Linked DNA regions of Caenorhabditis elegans. The protein of the gene in region 2 purifies or fractionates together with the protein of the main gene of each other region. This does not show direct contact. Each region holds a gene or a part of one and is shown on either strand. Other genes may lie near its edges.

Evidence for each region. Proteins that work in one complex are often made in the same cells at the same time.
Region 1: the proteins of Y27F2A.10 (region 2) and gtnt-37 fractionate together in Caenorhabditis elegans (co-fractionation; one large-scale study listed by BioGRID). This does not show direct contact.

What each region holds. Positions count from the first base shown.
Region 1 is NC_003282.8:14,162,841-14,170,227, reverse strand, and holds gtnt-37 (Glycosyltransferase family 92 protein), read right to left. Parts: upstream 4,453-7,387; 5' UTR 4,433-4,452; coding exon 4,351-4,432; intron 4,307-4,350; coding exon 4,164-4,306; intron 4,111-4,163; coding exon 3,828-4,110; intron 3,631-3,827; exon of another isoform or gene 3,610-3,630; intron 3,547-3,609; coding exon 3,449-3,546; intron 3,405-3,448; coding exon 3,331-3,404; intron 3,322-3,330; exon of another isoform or gene 3,301-3,321; intron 3,283-3,300; coding exon 3,204-3,282; intron 3,161-3,203; coding exon 2,876-3,160; intron 2,757-2,875; exon of another isoform or gene 2,736-2,756; intron 2,566-2,735; exon of another isoform or gene 2,545-2,565; intron 2,501-2,544; exon of another isoform or gene 2,479-2,500; intron 2,214-2,478; coding exon 2,128-2,213; intron 2,078-2,127; coding exon 1,825-2,077; 3' UTR 1,759-1,824; downstream 1-1,758.
Region 2 is NC_003280.10:3,169,847-3,175,694, reverse strand, and holds Y27F2A.10 (G_PROTEIN_RECEP_F1_2 domain-containing protein), read left to right. Parts: upstream 1-3,418; coding exon 3,419-3,986; intron 3,987-4,030; coding exon 4,031-4,227; downstream 4,228-5,848. Other genes in the region: fbxc-55 (F-box C protein), read left to right, coding at 4,818-4,885, 5,556-5,848.

The DNA of each region.
Region 1 (7,387 bases), on a different chromosome or scaffold from region 2:
TCTGGAATTTTAAGTTGGGAGTTTCAAAAGTTGTTAGCAAACTGGGTGAGCTGAAATATTACTACAGAAAAATAGCAGTGCATGAATATAACTTCCAATTGAAACAGAAAAAAAATAACCGTGAACTAAAATAATTCCAACTTGATACATTTTCATTTTGTTTATATCATCTCAATTTAATAATAATGTTCAATTTGTTTCTTTTTCGGAATTAAAGATCTAAAATCATTAAACTTTGTAATGTTAGAAGTTGTCAACCTATTATTTAAAAATTCACTGCTTCAAAATTTTTTCAAATGTAATTTCATGTTGAACCGATCAATCTCGATCAATCTCGTATACCAAGCATTACAAATCCTTTTTTTATTTCGTCTATATAATCAACTTTAATGATAATGTTCAATCCAAACTCGATATCACTATTTTTCAAAATTATACCATCAAACTATAAAATTTTAAAAGTTGATAACTATGCGTACTCATATTCATATTCTCATATTGTACTCATATTAATTCCATCAGAACATTTTTGAAAAATTGACTGTTTCAAGATATTTTCAAATGGGTTTTCATATTGAAACGATCAATCTCGAAAACTCATCGAGCATAAATAATTTAAAATCTAACGAGCTGAAGCATCAGTAACATCGCCGCTACACGGACATCCCGCCTTATCAGACAAACATTTTCTAGTCCTAGTCCATTGTCCATTGATCCTCTGATATCCTGTATAATCCGACCAAAGTCCTCCAGCAGGACAACAATTTGTCGTTTCTTCTCTCATAGATTTTGGTAATGGTCCACACATAAAAGTGCTATTCAAAACCATTGGAACATACGGTGGACAGCAGGTTTTTTGAGCGGGGTACTTGCAAGCCGATAGGTTACATGGGATGTAACGGGACGGAGCGCCTCTGGAAATTTTGAATTTGGGAAAAAAGGAAAAATCGATCATACAACCAGTATATCAGTTAATACAATGTTTAATAGTTTATAGAAACATTATAAGCAATTTATATATTTTTTTTAGAAAAAAAAGTATCCAGCCTTGATTGTAACTCACGAGCATGCACAATTCCCCAGCTCCGAGCTCAAACATGTCCGTATTTGAAACAGCTTTCCACATCCACCACAATCCATACTACACTTGTCACTTCCAGTTGTCACCCATTCACCCCACAGCCCTCCCGGTGGACATCTGACTCCAGCAGAACAAGCCTAATAGAAAATTGTGTATCATACAAGCCATCAATGATACTTACCGGTGGAACAGTTATCACAATGTTGAAACGGCAGAAAATAAGAAAAGATAAAATGAACATTAGGCTCTAGTTGTTTTCTGAATTTGGCAGTTTTTGAGCGTTTTGTATAAAGAAAAAATAGCAACAAAACATGATTATTGTTATGGAAATTGAGTTTGAAGATCAAGTTTTCAAAAAAAAAATTCATGTTTCATTGAAATGTTAAAGATGTAAAAAAAGGAAATAATATCAAAGCATTTGATAGCATTTTTTACAAAAAGTGTAGTGTAAAAGAGGAAAAAAGAGAACGACTTCGAAGTACTTTTTGAAGCGCATAATTTTAAAACTTTCAGTAGTTTTAGGTTTCATCCTTTTCCGGAACCCACAACATTTATTCAAAATTCATAATTTAGCCGTTTTGCTTATTTTTCTGACAATTCTGGTCAACGAGGATGATATATTTTTTCCTCAACCGAGTTTCAATTTTATCAAAAAAATCTGTTTCTGTTTCAACACTTTTATTTAATTTCTTCATTATTTCAAATTTTCATTAAAGCTTTTTTAGTAAATGAGATCAATATTGTCAAAACGCAACCCATGGTTCTTTACACGGATCTGGATATTTTAGAGAATTAGCTAATTGTTTTGGTATGCTGGAACAATTCACGGGAACTGAATCATACACTCGCAGAACTCTTTGGACAACTGCTTCTTCCAAATCTTTGGAAAATTGTTCTGGAAGTGGCACGCTTTTGAAAATTGGCATTACGCCAAATTTATCTGGAATTTCGTTCCAATTCGGTTGATACATCCGGTTTTTGGTGCTGCGGTAGTGTCTGAATAATTTCAACTTGGTTAAAACCAGTATTCTGAATAGGAAACTAACCTGAGAACTGCTTGAGCTTTATCCAACTTTTGCAATTTGATTCCTGGCCACATACCAACTATCTCGTGGATTAACATTACACCAATCTGAAAACAAGTTAAAGATCCACATGAATTCCGAAGCAAATGTTATACATTGAAGATGACACGTATAAACTGTTAGCAAAATTTTTGTTTTGAAAAAAGTTGTTTTAGCACAATTTTTTCCAGAAAAACTGGGTGAAAATTCGAATATTCAAATTTAAACTGACTACTTTTCATATTTCGTTCATTTAACTTTGTTAAAATTTAACTTAAATAATTTCCACTGTTTGACATACTTTAGAAATATAGGCCGTTTTTGAAAATGATGTTTCTTGAGTGTTAATATCATGTTTCAATAATTTTAATTCTAAGAACCTACTTTTATATTTTTTGTTCGCATAAGACACAATTTTCAGAAAATAAAATATTTTTACAATAACAAACAGTGATTTGCTAATATTTATCTTGTTACTAGACAACCAATGTCTTTTTGGCTATTTCACTTACAGAAATTAGTTTTTTTTTGTTAAAAAATTCAACTGTTTCACGCATGTAGTAAATACCAAAATAAAAACTTCACCACAGTTTTTCACCACAACTATATTTTTTTACTTCTATGACTTTAAAGGGAGGAGACGCATACATGCGAAATGGTCTTGCCAACCACTGGTTTGAATATATTTTTTTCCTTCGTGAACAAAAAAGTTTGACCCTTGAAAATATACCTTATCTGGTCTTATGATGAACTTAGAACCTGTAATCTGATTGCTCGTTGTTTTATTGTATTTTTTGAATATCAGTTCTTTCTCCAGTTGTGTTCGATTTTCAAACTTCGCGGGAAAATCATCATTTTGAATCACATGCACATGTGGTACATCAAGAACTCCGATAGAAGGATCTTGAATTGATCGTAGAAGATCAATCATTCTCTGTCCAAATGTTGTCATTCTCTCATCCAAATCTATTACGGCTGTCCATTTTGAAAAATATTTGCTTCGAAGGTGACAGTCCTGTTATTAAAATCTATTATTTTATCTTGTGAAGTCTCCCTACCTGAACCTCCAAAAACTGCCATGAAATGAACACACGTTGATATTTATCCTGCAGTTTCACTAATTCCATATCACCAGTTCTGAAAACAACACTACAATTTGCTGTTCTCTGAGTTATCTCCACATACCTAACATATTCATTCAAAATTTTCTCGTCATACTTTCGAATTTGACCGGCATAAAAGAAAAAGAACGTGGCACCCTGATAAAAAAAAAATTTGGGAAATTGTAAAATTTCAGCAATGCCTCTAGCTTGTTATGTTCTACAAAATCAACAATTGGAAGCCAATGAGATCCATTTCCGTAAGTGGGGGCCATGCATACTGATAGTTGATGAACTGGCTCTGGAGAAAAATTTTACTGTTTCATGATGTTATTTTAAAACGGTTCACAATATGTTTGATTAATTGGGAAGTTCCTTTTGCAACTTTTTCGTACAAAGACTTTCCGGCTGAAAATCTCACAAACCCTCAAATTTAAACCACAAAAAAAAACATTTTAAAGCCGCTCAATTGCAGGAAATGCGCTAGTGGAAATTCAAAAAAAATGCAAAATTATATTCAAAATTTGGGGTCCGGGTTCTATTCAAACTGTTTTCTAACTTTTCTCCGTCTTATACTCTTACCTTTATATGCTCTAAATTTGAGTCTAACTGGAGTTGGAGCTACTTCTTCCATCTCTCTTGAAACAGACACATAAACTGCTCCAATTCTTCTGGGACACTCTATAACAGATTCTGGAAATACTACACCCCGCCAAGCACTTCCTGGAATCTCATTCCGTTCACAATCGTAGTATCTACAATACATCTTCTGATTCAACATGTGTTGAGTGATAAGAGATATTGCAATGGTTTCAGGGTAGACGTATGCGGCCAGAATTGAGACTTCAGTGTTGTTGTGGATATTCTTGAAATTTTGAAACAGTTTTTGTTTTCTAGAGGAAAAGCTAAAAGACCTACCTCAGCTGTCAATTCAAGCTTCTTCCACAGCCATTTAGAGAAGGTTTTCACGTAGGAAGATGATATGGATTCTGTATGAACCCAATTCCAAGTTTCAATTGTACATTGTTGATTTGAAGAATAACTACTAGATTTTGAAAAATCTGAAATTTAATAAAATATTTTGGAGTAGTAATTTTTAATTTACCAAGGCCACCATGTAAAATGAAACATCCAAGGAACGCTAATACCACAAGAAAAGCAAAAATAAAAATAAGCCGCTTACCCATTTCAGGTTAAAAACTAAAATGAAAAGCCGCATCGGTTCACCCTCACTTTTATCTTCATCTGAGGGAATGCTTGATTGACTTGAAGATATGTATCTGGCTAACCCGTTCTTCATACTTTGATGGTATCGTCACACTTTCCCGAACTTTTTATTAATTTTTTATAAATCTTTTTTCCAAAAATATTGTACAAAACAAGGAATTTAATAAATGGTTTCTACAGCTAACCACTTCAAAAATTAAATAAAATCGGAGTAAGAAAACTGAAGACAATGATCAACCTTCAGAAAAATCGTTTAACTTTCTCCTTTAGAGATCCGTAAAATTTCCCTTTCCGCCTTTAATTAATTTTTTCGGTTTCTCCATGACCCCAAACATCCTATACATAACTACAACTACCGACATGAAATTATACAATACTTTTACAGTATTACCATAAACCCGGAAATAATTTTTAGAGTTACTGGTTTAGTCGGTTTAGTTTTTGTTTAATGGCCAGGTCGGAGTTTTTTCATTGATAAAATTAATTACCACATACTCTAATTAACAGTACTGTCGACACGAAATTGAGTTTATTTTCAAATATGGTTAGTTTAATGTGTATAATATAAGATCTAAATTAGATATATGTATATCATTATTCCCAGACACAATTGTCTAAATTATTAATTTATTTCTTTGACATCGCAACTGTTCAAACTGAAAATTATGTTCGAGATCATGTTATTTGGACATAAATTAAGCTTAATTTCTCTTTTATGACTGGATGTTGAAGACCGGCTATCTTGGCGGATCCTTTAGGTATTGTTCAGAATGAACTTAAAAATGCAATTGAAACGTTTCAGATTCAGACTAAATAAACTTTAAATTGTAATATTGACATTAGAAAACGTCAGTGTTTTTTTCGAAATAAATATTACCAAGAACGTGCTCAATTAATAAGTAGTGAAGTCACTTGGTAAATAAGGAATCTGAAACGGGTTAAGCGAAGAAAAAACTTGAAGACCTTTTTGTATTTTACCAACAAATAAGAGTATAATAAACAAAAACCAGGAAAAAAATATCGTCACTAATCATAGGGGATAAAGAAATAAACCTATTTGGACTGCTGCATCGACGAAATTAGCACATCGAACTGTTATTACTAGGCTGAAACAGCAAAAAAACGGAAAGTGGGAATTTGTTGGTACTAATAAAAATTGCTCAACTTGAGAGTTTTCACAGGTAATGGTTGAATTAAGTTGTTTTTTTTTCAATGCGGCACAGTAATACTGTTGATCTTGTAAAGCCAATCAATGTACATTTAGCACGGAAAATAAAACTGCATGTGTTATCAGCCCAAAATCAAAATTACTCTTGTTCTCTGTAAAGTTGGTTAAGCATTAGTTGAAATGGTAGGTTTTTAAAATCTTTAAAATAATTTTGGAATGCAATCAAAGAATATTGAAGAGACTTCTCAGTTGTTATTACACGACTGAAACAGTAAAAAAAAGAAAACGCAGAGACTGAATTAAATTTGTAGATGTTGATAAACATTTGTTCAGCAAAATTTTTTATGGCGGTTCAAAATTTTTGAAGAAACTGCGCTAATTTTCGCTAAAATCTCGAATTTCGCTAAATTTTCCTTGTCACAGCTGGTTGAACGCGACTTTTAATTGAATCACATAACATCCTATATTTTATATTTTGACTGTTTATCTAATATTATTACGTAGATTAAAATAATGTTTCGGCCGATAGGTAACCAAAAATCATGGAAATTTTTTACCTATAAGCTTTACAATGTATCTCAATTAATGAAATAATATGAGATAAATTACCAAAATATGCAATAAAATATAACTCGATAAACTCAGAAAAGTCAATTTCAACAATTTGCAACACGGAAAAGTGGGCGAAATTCGAGAATTCAGGTGAAATTATTGTAACTATTCGGAGTTTTATTTTGGATCTATACGTTAAAAATACCCAGGAATTTAAAAACATTGAAAACTCTGTTTTATCGACCATCTCTAATTCAAACATCATAAGTAGAGAACTCGAAACAGAAGTTTTTTTTGGCACGCAATAGTTTTCTCTTAAATTTGTTCGGTGCATATAAATTTTAATTTTGAGCCAGTGCTACCAAAAAGCATGTTAATGTTAATAACTCAACACATTCAACGTAATATGGTCTTTCATGAGTTTTTCACACCAACAATGGAATGAGTTAATTTAATTGTTATCTGTTAAAGTAAATAGACGCTGTTGACAATCAATATGTTTTCGCAGTGTTTAAGCTTGCATTTTACATTTTCCTCTATTCCTGAGGTCATGCCTGAGCCTAGGCATAAGCCTAAGCCTAAGCCTAGGCCTAAGTCTGAGCATAAGCATAGATCTGAGTCTAAGCACAAGCCTTAGCATACGCCTATGTCTAAGTCTAAGTCGAAGTCTACCGAAGTCTGTTCAAAATATGGATTTCAATTAATTTTGTTTTAAATTTTACTTTTTCTTAATCTCCATATATCATTCTGTAAAATATTTATTCAATTCGCGGCTTGTCATACATTCAAAAAAAATGCTGGTTATTTGAATAAAACACATTTATTAGTCAAATTCGATAAGACTGCGTGCCAGTGCACCAACAAATTCACCTCTTCAAATTCAATCTCCTGAAAACGCTTATAAAAATATATTTTATGAAAGTGCAATGGAAATTCTGTTTGAGCTACCATAAAAAAATGCTACTCCACTATAAAGTTGAAAAAAAAAATTAAAGGCACACATCAAAAAGTTGCCAAACGCCTGTTCCTGAACTGAAAAGGTGTTTCCTATCTCTTCTCTCGAAAACGGAACTACTGAAAAAAGCGTTCCCGAAGAAGATGCTTCTTTTCGATAAAATTAAGAACCCAATCAAATAGCGTGCTTGTTCTTTATATAAGAACAAGCTAAAAGCCAAAAATCTTTCAGTAATTTTTG
Region 2 (5,848 bases):
GAAAGTGTTGCTACTGAAAGATAGAGAACGTAAAGCAAGAGAAAGAAGAGAAGCAAAAGGTATATCCGATGGACCCAACTATCTTGGCCCGATGAGCAAGACATGTGATCACTGTAAAGCCGTCTTTTTCGAAAGTAAGTTTTTAAATAATATTTTTACAAATGAACGTTGAATTTTACCATGCAGCAAATTTAATTTCAGATGAAGTAAGCGGCTCCACTGATCATATCAACATGTGTTGCAATTTTGGACTGACAACCTCCATCGATGATAAGTTCGCCGACTATCCCGATCGATTGAAGGATCTTCTTCTCGGAGATTCGATTGAGGCAAAAACTTCCAATCAAATATTCGGCAATTCAACTCTGCTTTTTCCATGGCTTCAATGGGTGCCCATCTCGATATTCCAAAAGGACATGGTCCATATTGCTACCGCATCCACGGCCAAGTGTATCACTTAGCAGGGCCTCTTCATCCAGAACCTGGAGGAAGACCATCATACGGCCAAATTTATATTCTGGACACAGCTCAAGCTATCGAAGAAAGATTAGGAAATCCTGCAAATTCAAAATGTGATCCGCAGTTGATGGCAGAGCTCACGAAACTCATTTCGACTAGGAACCCATACGCTAAAGCTTATAAAATGATGGCAGAGGTGGAAGAGAAAGAAAACACCGATGCTCTGAAAGAAGGAAGAGTTGCCGAGGAGGTTCGACTAATCTTCGACATTTCAACTACTAAAGATCGTCGTTGTTACAATGTCCCCGTATCAAATGAAGTGGCAGTTGTATTTGTCGGAGAAGATCAGGATATTCCAGCTTCAAGATCTCTAGCTATTCATCCAAGAGGAGGAGGTCTCACTGCAATTCGTGATATTGATAAGATATGTGATCCATTGACATATCCATAAGGTCATAAGATGGATAACAGATTCATCGTTCCGTATAACTCTTACTTTCTGCTTCGGTACAATGCTCACATCAACGTCGAAATTTGTGCTTTCATTGAAGCTGTGAAGTACTTATTTAAGTACGTGTACAAGGGACATGATCGTGCTGCTCTAAACATCATTCGGAGTAGACTGAAAGAAGGAATCGTTGATGAGATTAAAGCCCACCTTGATGCTCGATACGTGTGTGCTCCGGAGGCCATCCACCATCTCTTCGGATTTAAGATTGAGAGAAAGTCTGACACGGTATATCGACTAGCTGTCCATCTTCCGGGTTTTCAAGTTGTGGTATTTCCTTCAAATGTAACAAAGGATCAGTTGCAGTCTACGCCTGAAAAAGATACAACTCTGACAGCTTGGTTCAAAATTAACAAAATTAGCGAAGAAACAGTGCAGAGTGGTTCCATGTCCGATTCATTTGTCGACGAATTGCATTACATTGACATGCCATCTTAATTCACATTCGATCAAAAAGAGCGCTGCTGGAAAACCCGAAAGCGTGGAATCCGACAAATTGGCAGAATGTACACAGTTGCTCCCAGTGAAACTGAACGTTATGTTCTTCGCATTCTTCTACTAAACACAAAAGGAGCTACTTCTTTTGAGGATATTCGAACTGTCATAGATGATGATGGAGTGCCTGTAGTTTACCCCACTTTCGTTGAAGCAGCTAAGGCACGTGGACTGCTGAAGGATGATAGTGAATATTTAAAATCGCTGAAAGAGTGGATTGGATGCTCGGTTCCTGCTGCCCTACGATCTTTGTTCAGTTCTATTCTACTCTTCAATGAGGTTCACGAGCCTCAGGTATTGTGGGATACCGTAAAACGCGATCTCAGTGAGGATTATCGTCACGCAGGAGCCAGAGATGATGAAGCTGAAGCTTTGGCCTATTTTGATATTTCCAGTCGACTTCACAGGTAGCTATCATCTCTAAACTTATATTTATAGTGGAAATATATGTTTTCAGAGGAGGCAAAGCTTTCAATGATTACGTTCCTGAGCCTTCAATGCATCCGACTGACATCTATCTAAATACAAGCGATCCATCCCAATGTGCAGCAGAGGGCGTTCGACTATTTCAAACCCTCAACTCGGACCAGAAATACGTCTTCGAGCGTATCGTGGGAGCGCTACACGACCCTACTTTACCCCGTCTCTTCTTTTTGGATGGTCCCGGAGGAAGTGGTAAAACATATCTGTACATTGCATTGTACAATATGATAATTGGAGAAAATAAAATGGTAACTATCAACTAATTCATTTTTATTCCTAACATGTTTTTATTCCAGGCGGCTTGCACAGCATGGACTGGAATCGCGGCACATTTACTTCCAGGAGGTCGAACTATGGTGTCTCTTCTCAAATTGAACATTCATGATCGATGTGAGTCGTCGCTTCACCGAAGGCAATTGAAAGATGCCAGAGAACTTGCTAATACCGATGTGTTCATTTGTGACGAGGCTTCGATGATTCCAAAAACAGCTCTCAACACGTTTGATTCTCTTCTTCGGGATATCACTCAAGTCGATCAACCATTTGGAGGAAAAATAGTCATTTTGGGCGGAGATTTCCGACAAATCCTTCCCATTGTCGAAAAAGGGTCGAGAGCTGATCAAGTCGATGCCTGTATCAAGAGTTCGCCTCTGTGGAATCAGTTTGAGACTCTACGCCTCCACTCAAACATGAGAGTTACCACAAACGACACGGAATGGATGAACTTTCTTCTCGGTGTTGGCGATGGTTCCCTAAATGATTCTGAATCGAAAGTTCAAATCCCTTTTTCTTTATGTGATGGAAATATTGTCGAGAAAGTTTTTGGAGATGTAATCGACCCATCAACTTCTGATCCCTGCGAAAATGTGATTCTTACTCCAAAAAACGTTGATGTCACCCTTCTCAACGAAGATGTTCATTCCAGAGGGATAGGAGAAGAAAGAATCTATTTATCAAGAGATGAAATTGTAACAGATGATCCAGCAGATCACATGCACTACCCAACAGAATTTCTGAACAAGATGACCCCTTCGACTCTCCCCCCACATGTGCTGAAACTGAAAAAGGGATCGGTGGTTATGCTGCTCAGAAACCTTGATGTATCGGGAGGTCTCTGCAATGGATCTCGCTTTGTGGTGGAATCCTTAGGACGACGAACAATTGGATGCCGATTTGCATGTGGCGAAAGAAAAGGAAAATTTGTAATCATCCCTCGAATCGAATGTTATCATGATAAGAATTTGTCTTTCAAACTGAAACGAACTCAATTCCCTGTTCGAGCCCCTGACGGCCGAATCACAAATATTGTTTTTACCGAAATTCTTTAAACGAATGTTTTAGAAACCTTGATTTGATTTAATAAAAATTATTTAAAAAAAATTTTTTTCAAAATTTTTCACTTCCTTATTTTTAAAATAAAATTTCAAACGACCAGTCGCGGCCGCGCCGGAGGCGCGGTCAGCGGCTGGTTGTATGTATAATAAATCACTTTGCACTGAACTGTCGAAATTGCAGACAATGATTATAGCTTCTTCATTTGTTCAAATAGAATGTCTGACTATTTGCTTTGTAGCTAAACATCAAATCTTCGCAAAATTACTCAATCGGCACATAGTATCAAGAATCAGTTACTACTTTGGAGCAGCTGGTTTTACATGTGTCCCAATAATAGTTGTTATCGCTATCAGCCAAGCTAATGTTTACCAGGAGTATCAGCATATTGAAACCTGCTACCCAGAGTACCTTGCTAGATTTAAAAATCTTAGTGACTTCGCAATCTACACGTTCAACGAATGGTGCTATTTTCTCGCAGTTTTGGCTTGCATGGAAGCACTATTCTGCGTTACTGTAGCTGTCATTACAACATGGGATATGTTCAAGATGTTAAAAGCCCTACAGCTAAGAGTCTCTAAAATACAGCTCCAGCGTTACAAATCTGCAATTATCAGTCTTGTATCCCAGATGGCAGCTTCATTATTGCTATTGGTTGCCTTCGTCTGCTTACTAGCCACCGTACTGACAAATTTTAGCGCTAATCAAGGTTTGTATCACTTATACATGATCTCTAAATCTTGCTAATTTCAGCAATCGCGGAGCTTGCCCTATTAATTGGTGCTCAACACTCGATAGTCAATGTAATAGTGCTCATCACCACTACTCCGCCATACCGAGATCATGTATCTGGGTACTTCATGAAACTATTAAAGCCCAAGTTAGTTGGTCCTGCGGCAGTGGGAATGCTGAGTGAAGCATCTCGAAATCCGATTTTGATCAAGTTATAGTGTTTTTCTGGTAAAGCGGGAATGCTGAAAATTGGCTCAAAATTGTATAGACCGTTGTGTGGCTAGGACACGGAGGTCCATCCTGGGTTGAAGGATCCGACAGGGGTGCGGCTCTCGACCGACCCCGGCTTAAAAAAAAGAGGCCTCACAAAAAGGGAAGCTGTACGAAAAACGGATTTGGCACTGTGCCAGGGTTTTTTTTTTAATTTTTGTGCTGGAAAACACGCCAAACAACGCGCGATGCGTAATTTCAGAGCATCGTTGTAACGTTTTCTTCGAGAAATGATGCGTTTTGTGTATTTGGCACAATGCCACTTCTTCCTTTTCGTAGATCATTGTTTGTGGGGCCTCAAAAACAAGTGCCGCCTTTTCAGCTGTCCGCTCCCGCTCCACCTGTGTATTCAAAGTTAATAAATTATGAAATCATATGTATTTCTGTATTTCTTGCTCACTACATAACATGAGAACCAGGAGCTGACCGCGATTGAAACAATGTCAACAGTTGACAAATATTTACCGAAAAAAAACGTTTTCCGATAGATGAGTCAATAGTGTGTGGTAAGTTAGCAACCTTGGAAGAATTGCAAAAAATGACGACGAAACAACTTTCCTACCAATGCCAGATATCTGTAATTCATCACCTTGAGCCAAATTTGAGGTAGGTCGTTTTTTTTCCAATATGCAAATTTGCCGAAATTGCTGAGCTCGGTAAATTTGCCAAATTTGCCGTTTGCCGAGCACGTAAAAAATGTGGACTTATCGATTTTGCCGAGCTCGGCTAATTTTGAAAATTTTTTTTTCATTGATTTTGGCATTTTTTGAGCTCCAAAAAATGAAAAATATTGCAATTTACCGAGTATGACGACCACGGCAAATTTGCCAATTTCGCCGATCTCGGCAAATTTCAAAATTTGCCGCACACATCAAAAATTTGACATAACAATTTTTACCAAAACTAGTGATTTTGACTCCAAAAATTTGGTAAAAGGACACAAAATTTAATTATTTTTATGTTTAAGCAGACACACTACACCGAACTTATTCAGAAACCATATGTGTGTTAACAATTCAGTAGTTTTGGTGCTCCAAAACACAATAAAAACACCAAATTTTTCGGAGTTACGGCAAATTTGCCGAATTGGCCGAATTTGCTGAGCTCGGCAAATTTGCCAAAATTGCCGAGCTCGGCAAGTATTAAAGAAGTTGGTTTGCCGATTTTGCCGAGCTCGGCAAATTTCGAAATTTGCCGCACAATCCTTGTACGGATGTTGTTTTGCCATGTTGATGCACCATGCTCCACCCAATTCAAGAACTCTCAAAATTTGCAGACTATCCCTTTCCCGCCGATGTCCATCACTCAAGCTCGCGGAGCAGTCCACCGGCCTATACCTCACCTACCTGCAAATCGACCAAAACTCTATTCAAATCAACCATATCTTGTATCGACTAAGCGTTATCAGAAGCAATGGAGATGGTGGCCGCCCGTATGATGTAGATGAGTATGGATATCAGGATTATGCCTTAAATGTTCATGAAGATCCCAATGAGATTTTGATAGATAATAGGATGCCTGGTGGAAGCAACAAAAGTCTGAACGAATTGCTGCGTGATGTTGGAAGAA